Linked DNA regions of Schizosaccharomyces pombe. The protein of the gene in region 1 interacts with the protein of each later gene in a pairwise test. Each region holds a gene or a part of one and is shown on either strand. Other genes may lie near its edges. The genes, in order: SPOM_SPBC16E9.15 and bud6.

The links.
Region 2: the proteins of SPOM_SPBC16E9.15 (region 1) and bud6 interact in a two-hybrid assay, tested with the Schizosaccharomyces pombe proteins (one large-scale study listed by BioGRID).

What each region holds. Positions count from the first base shown.
Region 1 is NC_003423.3:1,944,708-1,948,378, reverse strand, and holds SPOM_SPBC16E9.15 (uncharacterized protein), read right to left. Parts: upstream 1,487-3,671; 5' UTR 1,402-1,486; coding exon 1,339-1,401; intron 1,282-1,338; coding exon 1,258-1,281; intron 1,209-1,257; coding exon 1,166-1,208; intron 1,102-1,165; coding exon 1,004-1,101; 3' UTR 541-1,003; downstream 1-540. Other genes in the region: Golgi zinc importer, CDF family, Zrg17, read left to right, coding at 2,057-3,217.
Region 2 is NC_003424.3:3,714,522-3,721,593, forward strand, and holds bud6 (actin-interacting protein 3), read left to right. Parts: upstream 1-2,121; 5' UTR 2,122-2,284; coding exon 2,285-6,442; downstream 6,443-7,072. Other genes in the region: shugoshin Sgo2, read left to right, coding at 1-63, 107-174, 227-1,792; SPOM_SPAC15E1.02C (uncharacterized protein), read right to left, coding at 6,789-7,072.

The DNA.
Region 1 (3,671 bases):
TAGTACTAAGAGCAAGTCCGCCGCCTATCACTATCCTGCCACCACTGAGACTGTTTCAAGCAAAGCAGCCCGCTCTGCCACCACTCCTGCTTATGTTGGCGGTGCCACTAAAACTCCTAGTACGACAAAGGCTGTTGAATCTACTCCCAGCACCTTGCCTACTTCAGCTTCCACAAATGCTGCTGCTACTACTACCACTAAAAAGCCCAAGGCTGCCAAATCTACTGCTGTACGTGATGATGTTTCTTCTGCTTCTTCGGATAGCGACAAGGGTACCACCGGTTTGGGCAAATCTGAAAGCAAAAGTTCCCGCAAGGAACGTAGAAGCAGCACCAGCAGCGGTCATGGCTTGATGAACAATGTTCGTCATGCCTTGGGTATGTCCAACAAGTAAAGGGAATACTTGCAATATCAAAATTTTTGGACGTAACCTTCATTATCTCGTGAATCCGTTATGAAAAAAGGTTTTTATTGTATGGTTCTTATTTGAAAAAAAGGGACGACAACTTTTTGAGGGGAAAGTTGTCATCCTTTAAAGGTTGGTTCTTTATGATGGAAAGTACTGCGAATTGTTCGTAATTTATTAATGAGATTCTTTGTTTATACGAGTAAAGAAATTGAATGCGATGGATATAGAAAATGTAATGTAGCTTTAGTTTTAAGTAGTTTGATTGTCTGTGGTGGGTTGTATATGCTTGCTTTGGCCTTGCTAGATAATCAAAACAAGAAACAATATAAAATGTACAATAGAACTAACAGGTAAAAATAAATGTACAAAAAATAAATGATTTGAATTTTCTCGTACGAACATGTAAACAATTGAAAAAGACAAACAATCGAGACTTAGAAATACAATTGAAAATAAATAGACAGAGCAAGACAAACAGAGGTTATTCTTAATAAAATAGAGCAAATCTAGCACAATCCCCAATCCACCACGTCAAACAAGCTGTATGCTCACTTCAAATAGAAAGCTTTGAAAATCTTATGCGGTGAATCTTGTTCACTCGGTCGATGTGACCGGTGAGACAGAAGACTTTTTGTTCATGGCCTCACGCATGGATTCTTCAAGTTGATCTAAACGAGTTGACATCGTTTCCACTGTTAACATAAAAAGTTATGATTAGTAAAGCAAAATCTTTCATTATAAATTAGAGAATCGTACATTTCTCAGAGAATTGCTTTTGTAGGGTCTCAAAGTCGCCAGACTATAAAAATCTGTTAGAATGATTAACTAAGCACAATTCTTCTTCTTACAATATCCTCCAATAACTTATCAGTCTAAAAGTAAACAAGGTTAGATCATTAAAAAAAAAGAAAGACTAATCTTAAACGCACCAAAGTCGTGATCGCAGATGTGGATTGAGGATTTTTAGAATTCCCTCTAACAGACGCAGACATTGTAACCGAAAACCTTTTTTTTAATATGTATAGATGCTTCCTTCAGGTAATAAGAACTCACTTGTGAATACAATAGTTGGTATTTGGAAGAGAAATGGAAGAAGTAGGTAAAATAGTTGATGGAACTCAGCTAGGAACCTCTGCGTAATGTTATTTACCTACACATAATTATTTTTATTATTTTACCAAGTGTATTTATTGTCTTATCGAGTACATGTGGAAAAGTCGTAGAAGGAGAATTCAGGCCCTTGGAGTGGCCTTTTTTTTATAACTTAATGATGATTTTATTTTTAATTAAACGAATTAAAAAAATTACTCATAATATCCTTGTATGGATGACTTTGAGCCGCATGTTTGAACCCTATATATATGGCGTTCCACGATGGCTCTGAAAGGTAAGTTTGTTCATCTTTAACCGTTTTCTACTAAGCGTTTTTTATTCCTAGTCACTAAAAAGTAGATGTCTCAAAGATGGTACAACACTATGGCTTTTTATAATCATTTACTGATACAGTCAATATCTTTATCTTAGACTGTTGCAATTTGGGCCTAGTACCAACTGGTCTTACCCATCCACTCCACCAAACGCATGGGTGAGTGAGTTTTTAAAAAAGCCATTATAGAATTGTTGAAAGTATATCTAAATGAATGAAAAATGACTCAAAATCATAACATCCCGACTGCTATTCAGATTCAAAACCCTATAAATAATAATGTCTCTGTAACTATTAGTGATCAGTTACCAAAACCGAGTGCGAATAATCCCAACTTGTTAAGCGTGGATACTCGCCCTACCCACAGAAAAGGCCATCATCACAAACATTCGCTTTCGCATCAATATTTCTTACCACCCAAGAATCGACAGCCGTTAGAGATACCTGCCAGTTATCCCATTCCTACTTTTAAAGAAACATTCGCAATCCTTACTTTTCCTCAAAAACTAAAATTGACAAGCTCAATCCTATTCTTTTTGGTCGCCGTAGGGGTATTACTCTCGGGGGATGCTACTATCCTACTCACTTTATCTTGCTCTTTAATCGTAGAAGGTGTTTTAATCATTATCAACGTTTGGCGTGAAACATTGGATTCGTTCCTCGTCTGGCGACACACGTGTTTACGTTACCCATTTGGAATGCAACAAATGGAATTACTTGTTGATTTTTCCTTCTCAATCCTCTTAATCTTCCTCGGCATGAACCTCCTAAAAGAGCCTGCCGAACATGCTATAGAAGATTGGGGTAATCTCCATCATGCTGGCGATCATGAAGAAGAGACTGTACACATTCATTTAACCATTTCATTGTTTGCTTCGGCTATAATATCGGGATTTGCATTATTGTTGGATCACCCTAGTGCTCACATACGAGAACTCAATTCTCGCTTTTTCCATGGACTCACATTAGTACCTTCACTCATCCTCGTGTTGCTGTTAAGTCTTGGTTATCAAGTTGGTTCATTTCTCAGCCATTTGCTTTCCTTAACTATTGCTGTTACTGCCCTGGTGAATGGGTTCTCCATTGCCAAATCGCTTGCCTTAATGCTCTTGTTGACATACTCTAATAAAGAAAAGGTCTTTGAATGCGTCTCCCTTATAAAAGAGGATACACGAATTGACCAACTTAATTATGCTGCCATTTGGCAACCTCATTATAATACTTGTATTGCTAATATTGGCTTAACCGTTTCAGGAGGTGAACGAGAGCAGGCAGCAGTTCGTGAAGATATTATAAGGATTATACAAAAAACAGTAGGAAGCATATTTGGTGCTGGTGTTCAACCCAAATGGGAAATATCAGTAGATATCCAGAGAGCCTAATCGTTTTTTCCTATCTTACAACCAACCGTGTTTGTAACTCACTCGTTATATTTTTATTATCATTTAATGCATGCATATTTTATCAACATATGACATTATCCACCTTTGCGGAACTTTCGCTGTCTCGAACAGTTTGGATTCATAATCTAATAAATGCCATCCATATTTACTATAGAATTACCAACACCTTTTTCATTCTTTCCTTTAATTTATACCGCTTATTACAAATTATAAGGAGAATACAAACTCAAGATTTTAATATGAAATGAATAATTTTATTATTATAAATAAGGCATGTGTGGTCGTTGCATACTAAAAGGATCAAGTCTAACTAATAATAGAATGCGTATATAGAAGGTATTTTCATATGTAAAAAAAAAAAAGAAAAACGTAAGCATATATATGACCCTCAATTAACATACAGATTCCAAAGGACAAGTAATGCAATTTACTA
Region 2 (7,072 bases), on another chromosome or scaffold:
GATTTCATGAAGAAACAGATAATTTTTTATCAAAATTAAGTCTTTGTCAGCAAGAAATACAAGGTACGTGTTTGAATTCATATCGTTTTTAGCTAATTGAACACAGACACCTTCAAACCAGTGGAGGCTAACTTAGCTTACGATGTCGATACGGATTCTGAAGACCTTGACGAGGTAAGTTGAATCGTATTATGTTTTTCAGATATGTTTATCTAACGTCTGAAAGGAATCCGTCGTGAAAGATACCGAAGAAATAATTGAGCAAGCTCAGCATGATGTTTCCTTACGAAATTTAAGTGGAATAGAGGATGAAAATATAATTGATGACGGAGAAACTGCTATAAATGAACAAAAAAAAAGAGAAGCTAATGTTTTTTCCGACACGCAATCAGCACCTCAGCTAAAATCCGGCAAAGCCCTCCCAGCTGATTTTGAAAATCCTTACAATCTATCCAATTCGAAACCTGTAAATAATAATAATGAAGATAGAGTTGAAGCGGTTACTTCTGAAAATAAATCTATCGATTCTGCTCCTCAGGAAAAAAATCATGAATACGAAATCGTTAGTCCAAAATCATTATCCAACAAAATTAATAATCAAGCAGCTGCACAAAGAAGAACCGAAGAAGATAATGCAAATGGAGTTGCTCAAGAAGAAAATGAGGGTTCACAAGAAGCTCATTTTCATAGCAGAATACAATCTGATACAGTAATACAAAGTACACCCACTAAACGGAAATGGGACGTTGACATTCAAAATAAACAAATTAATCTGGCTTCTGCAGCTACCAATGTTACCGGTTATGTATCGGAGACCGATAGTCGCCCCAATCGCGCAAACTCTTTGGATTCTGCTGTCCTTCTTGTGCAATCTTCAAATAAAAGTAACCGAAATGGGCATCATATTTCAGATCCTAATTTAAATAGCTCCATATCGTTGAAGTTTGCGCCTGAAGATACTGCGCATAATTCATTAACTTCACAAGAGAATGTTGGGCCTCAGGTTACGACGACTTCTCTGTCAAATATGACTGTTGCTGAATCTCCTCGTACAGACACTCCAAGGGAAATAAACGGGTTAGTAGACTCTTCTGTCACTAATGGGAACGAAAAATTTTCTGTAGAAATAATGAATGACTCTAACAAAATTGGACTGAATCCTAAATCTTTTACCGACGAAGAGCGGGAAATTTTAACACTTTTTCGAAATCCTCCCATGAGACTGTCAAGTGAACCTCCATCTTCAAATGGATTTTCAATAGCCCATCCCAATAATTCTCCGTTACGTCCGCCATCGCTACAAGGAATATTGAATGCTGAAGATCGACCTTACGAAATTGAGCCGTCACGTAGCTCCTTTGCTACCAACGATACGGGCTCCTATAATAATTTGGAACTTCTGTCATCTGTAACGAATTTGAAATCCCCTAATGAGAACGATCGTGTGACGAAAACTCAGTCGCGAAGAGAAACAAAAGTGAAAAGGCGAAGAAAAGCTCGGATTCAAGAAACTTCTGAAGAAAGTACAGTAGTCAATGAGCCAAATGAAAAACCTGATGGAAGGAGCCGAAGGGAACGGAAAAAGGTTAATTACGCTTTGCCTGGATTAAGGACGAAATTAAGACGGAATTTCGATTTACCTTCAGATCATGTAAAAGCTAAAAAAACGAGACGTGCTCCTAAGAACTCTGAGAATGATTCAGCTACCAAAACAGAAACCGCAAACATTACTTCTGAAGCACCCACTACTTCAGAAGTAACCCTTGAAAACTCCGAAACCCTTAATTTGTAATATTATGTAATTAAATACCTTTCGACATCGTTTAGTTGGTTCAGATTTTTTAAGTGGAGGTATGCGTCAATTTGAAATAAAAAGTCAATATTTTGGGAGTTAACCTTTGGTATTTCATATTACTTCTTTCTTTGTTTATTCACATTTTGTTCTTGTCATTAACGTTATGTACAAATATATGGTTTGGTTAGTTAAATACAATAAACAGGTGTGTAAATATATTATAAAATTACTTAGCAATCCTCACAAATTCAATTTACTATGTACCTTAGCACATTCATCAAGTAGTCCATTTCTAGTGTACCTCGATCGCCCTCGGTGGAAGTACTAACCTACGCAACTGAGTCTAATAAGTCAATATTCTTATGTTTTGTATATAACAAACCTAATTGGTTTTGTGTTTTCTCTTATGTTTATTGTTTTAAGTTTAAGTTGAACTTTCAATCCTTTTTTTGCGATTAGGATCATTGCTTTACTCATCTATTGGGACCAATGTTTAATAACGGCGATAATATGTCTCGTGAACGTTTTTCTTCCAATCATTCAATGCAAAGACAAAAGACTGAATCTCGAGCAAATTTTTCTCGAAGATTAGTCCCTTCCGACTCAAATCGGAAGCCTGTACCTAATGGCGCGTCCAACAGCCCTTTGTCAAGAGATGCAGCGTCTCATTTAATTAGTACAATCGAGACATCGATAATGAAGCTTTTAGTTGTAACAAAGGAGCTTCTTGAAAGCTTAACAAACTGGAGCAAAGGTACAGTTAATGATAGTGCTGTTTCATCCGTTTATGTTACTCTAATAGGGGAATTCCTTCAGACAACCAAGTCCTTTCATGAAGCTGGTATTGAAACTGCAGATTTAAATGATTTTCCGCTAGAACTCAGATCAGTCCTAGAGCAAACACTGGAAAAAACACCATCTTCTGATGCTTTGGAGACCAATCTTCCTAACGTAAGGGAGCTGGTTATGCACCTCCTACAAAGCTTGAAGTATAAGCAATCTCTGGTTAAATCCAGATTAAATCAATCTAGGTCAAATTTGCCTCAAATGACCCGTGAAGCGAATGATAACGATGTTAATCGCCGTAATAGTCGTGGTTCTTCCCAAGGAAGCATATCATCATTTAGAAATCCTGATTCGAGAAAGCAATATGAAGAAACTACGAGTGCCTCATTAAGTGCTCCTGGAGCCTTTGATGCATTGAAGCAGACAAATGCTCTCGAACGCCGAGCTAGCAAACGACTGTCACACATGGTAAAAGACCAGCAAAACAATGAGGGATCTTCTCAGAATTTGAGGAATATCACTGTTGAATCTGTCAGAGGCTTTCTTCGTGATTCCTCAAAGCCAGACAATATAATGGACTCACCGTCTCCCAAAGTATCTAAAAGGCCATCTATCGTTAGACAAGATAGTCATGATTCAAATAAGCTTTCAAGAAGACCTACAATAAATACAAGTTTTGATAGAAAGTTTTCACCAAAACTTACTAGAACACCTTCTTTGACTAAATCATTAGATCCTGGAACACCCACTTCTTTAAAAAGCCCTTCTCTTCGAAAAAGCCCCAGTTCTTTCGTACAAAAGGATGTATACTCTCGTTCTAACTCTTTAAGAATAAGTCAAGCAAATCGAAGTAATGTTTTTCCGGGTGCAACTGATGTAACTAGAAGCGTGTCTGATCATAGAATATTAAGTAGCTCAACCATCAATGACGGAGAAGTCGCTCCGCCACTTCCCCAACGATCAAGGACTATCTCTTCCCCTAATAGCCCATTATCTGCTACAGTCCTTCCATCTAGTACTCCGATTTTATTGCCCAGAGGTCGTTCTTCAACACTATCTGTTAACAAAAAACAATTTAATGCAGATGATGGTTCTACGTTGAATTCGCCGAATTCCATTCGTGAAACTGAAGAATATGCTGCTTCGCCAAAATTGGAAGATATCGCTGATGAGGTTGAGACGGATGCCACAAGTCAGAGGGAACTCCTCGAAAGACAAATTCAAAAAGCAGAATCCTCAGAAGATACCTCTGAAATTGAAAGCTTACAAGGTAAACTTTCATTACCCCAAGTTTCATCTACTCAACAGGAAATACAACCTAGCAGTAGCGTCCCTGAAGCAGCTTCAAATGAAATTGCAGAAAAAGAACCTGCTGTTACTGCAATTGAATCAATAACTGAAAGAAAGGAAGAAGCCCCGGTGATATCTAGTTCTGAAAAAATTGAATCTGGTACGAGTATAAGCACTTCAGATACAAAAGGAGGTTTAGCAAATTTTGAAAACGATTCCTTAGAAGAGCTGGAAAGACTTATACAACAAAACAATGCTGAACAAGATGAACCATCTTATAAATTCCATAAATATGAATATTCATCCGAAGAGTCTGGTTCTGAAGATGAGTTTAAGAGCGAGAAAGATACAAAAGGCTATGTAATCTCTAACGATGACTCGACACAGGTTGAAGAGGATTCAGAAGATAAATCGACTCCAAATACAGGCGCATCTGCCAAATTAATTAACGACCCTTCATCTACTATCACTGTATCTGATGTCTACCCTAAGAAACCTGCCTCTCCTGTTGAAATAACGGAGCCGCCATCCTCGGCTCTTGTATCTGCTACTTCTCCTACTACTAATGTTCCCATCGTTCCCGAGGCCGTCCACCTATCTACCGCTTTTTCTACTGCTCCTGTATCTACGATTGTTTCCAATATTTCTCCTTTACCTACCGTTGCTCCACCTAATGTTTCAGGGTCTCCAAGTGAAACTCCTATTTCAAAGCCGGAAAAGGTTCCTGTTGTTTCTCAGACTGAAAAGGCACTCCCAAAACCGTTGGGGGTAGATACGGAAAAATACTATTTTTTGCGTTACAATAACCAGACCCGAAAAGTCAAGGTTGAAAGTCCTCTATCAAACGCAAATGAGCTGGGCGAACTTTTCAGTAATGTATATAAAATTTCATTTAGTGGCGATTCTTATGAACTAAATATTGAAGACCCCGATACTAAGATAAGTTATCTGTTAGAAGATCTCTCGGACCTTAAATACAAGTCACTAGTTTCTTTTATGTTTAAAGAGCAAGATGCTAACAAGAAGAGGGAAGATTTCCATTCCGGTGAGGTCTCTGCTATTCAACATTCATCTGCACAAAACACTCTGGATGATCATGTTAATACTACCACTCATGAAAGTCCTTCTTCTGCTTTTACAGAAATTCTTGAGCGCTTGAAAGCTATTGAGCAAAATATTTCAACTAATCACACCAACGACTCAGCTGCACTCAAATCGTCAGAAGACCATTCAAAATTGGCAAATAACTTTTCTGTCCCTGATAGTATCGACCACAAGTTTTACCAACAAGTTAAGAATATGCAACTAGAATTGGCTTCTCTTAAACAGATTTCGGCTGCTTTCTTCACCAGGATTCCGTTAAAGATAAAAGATTTTAAGAAAGAGATAAATGCGTTTAATGAAAAGGGATCTCTGGATTTCCAATTTGGAAGAGGATTTGTTTTAAGCAGCAAGGACAGGATTGAACGGGAAGTTAAAAACGTAGTTGAAAAGTTTGATGAGGTAAATGATCAGATTGAACTTATGCGTTCTGATGTGCTGTTGCGCAAAGTACGACCAGGCTTAGATCAAACATCTCAATTAAATGAGGAAAGCGCATACTTGGAAAAAAGGATTCAAACCCTTGAAAGATCTCTTGAGGAAGTAACTCCAATTTGGAAGAAGCAATGGGAACGAGAGTTAAATGCAATTGTACAAGAGCAAGAATTTCTGGATAGTCATACTGTTCTTATATCAGATCTTAAGAGGGATCTTTCCGCATTATCCACTGTCCTTTCAAATGTTTCCGCGATAGCTGAATTGCAAGCCAAGTCCTCCATTAAAAGCAAACCCTTAACTTTGAAAACTGCCACTGAGTCTGAGATTAAAGGTTATCGTGATCAAATTCAGCTAGAAGTACTAAATCTAAAACCCGACAGTGAAGCACGACTACAGGCTATTGAGCGTAGTGAACTGTTGCAGAAAAAACGACTGTTGCAACGAGTAGATGAATTTTCAAAAGAAGTTAAAACTTTTGTTGAGAACGAAAAGTTGAATAAGATCGGAGGAGCGGAAGAGGCTGATCGAATTCGAACAATTCAAGATGAAAAAGTACGTAAAATTCTATGGGATGACTTTGTGTCATCGAAACGCAATGGAAAAAATGGAGGTAGTTTCATTGAGGAATCGAGTGACACTGTTTTAGACGAACATGTTGTGCCTGATAATTCTGCTAAAGCAACTGTTGCAGAAATAGACTACGGTTCACAGGTGGATACAGAGAATTTTATGTTAGAACGCAGTCCATTGGCAACTCCAAAGCCATTGAAGCAACCTGATTTTAATATATATGAGACGCCGATCGTCCGTAGTACAGCTCATGAAACAGATGATGAACAAACCCCTTCTAAATACTCCGATAACAGAGTCGAAAGTTCTAGTGATACAGTGTTTGAGAATACTGATCTTAAGTACGATAACAATGTACAGATGAGTAAAGTGACTCATCATGTAAGACACGATACGATATCCACTGATGACTATGACGCTTACGAAGATGCCGAAGATGTTGAAGAGACAAGCCTAACTTAATGTGCATAAGTTTTATTCGATTTGGCAATGATTGTATGCCAGTTTGTGTATTTTTTTTTTACTTTTTTTAACTTTAATTGTTACGAGAGAAATTACCCTGTATTACACTAGGACTGATGCAAATCTTGTGAATCAAGGATTTGCTGAATAGAGTTACAACATACCTTAATATGTACAGTTATAACAAGCAAAGGAAGCTTCGATGTTGTCCAATACCACTATTGGGATACTATTTTCACTTACAGTCTAACCAAATATGAGATAAACACAGAAAAGAAATCTTAGATATTAAAGAAAATTTGATTAACTTGTCGTTTTAAAAATCAGATATTGAACCATCGGAATCTTAAATACGACGTACGCCGTAACCGATCAAGGCAACACTTAAGCCTACTGATTTCACTAGAGAAGATATAGTTTTGACAAGGATGTAAGGGGTACCTCTGCTTTCTGTGAACATATAGTCGACTACGTCGGGCAATCCAGATGCACCAAATACATAAAGACCCACGAAAAAGGCACCTTTGAGTGTCACAGTGCCTGTAAGTTGCAACAATGCAGCGATCGAGTACGACTGAACTGCTGTACTAAGGAAATTGCTAACATAAGTTGTAGCAACCTTCTTGGTTT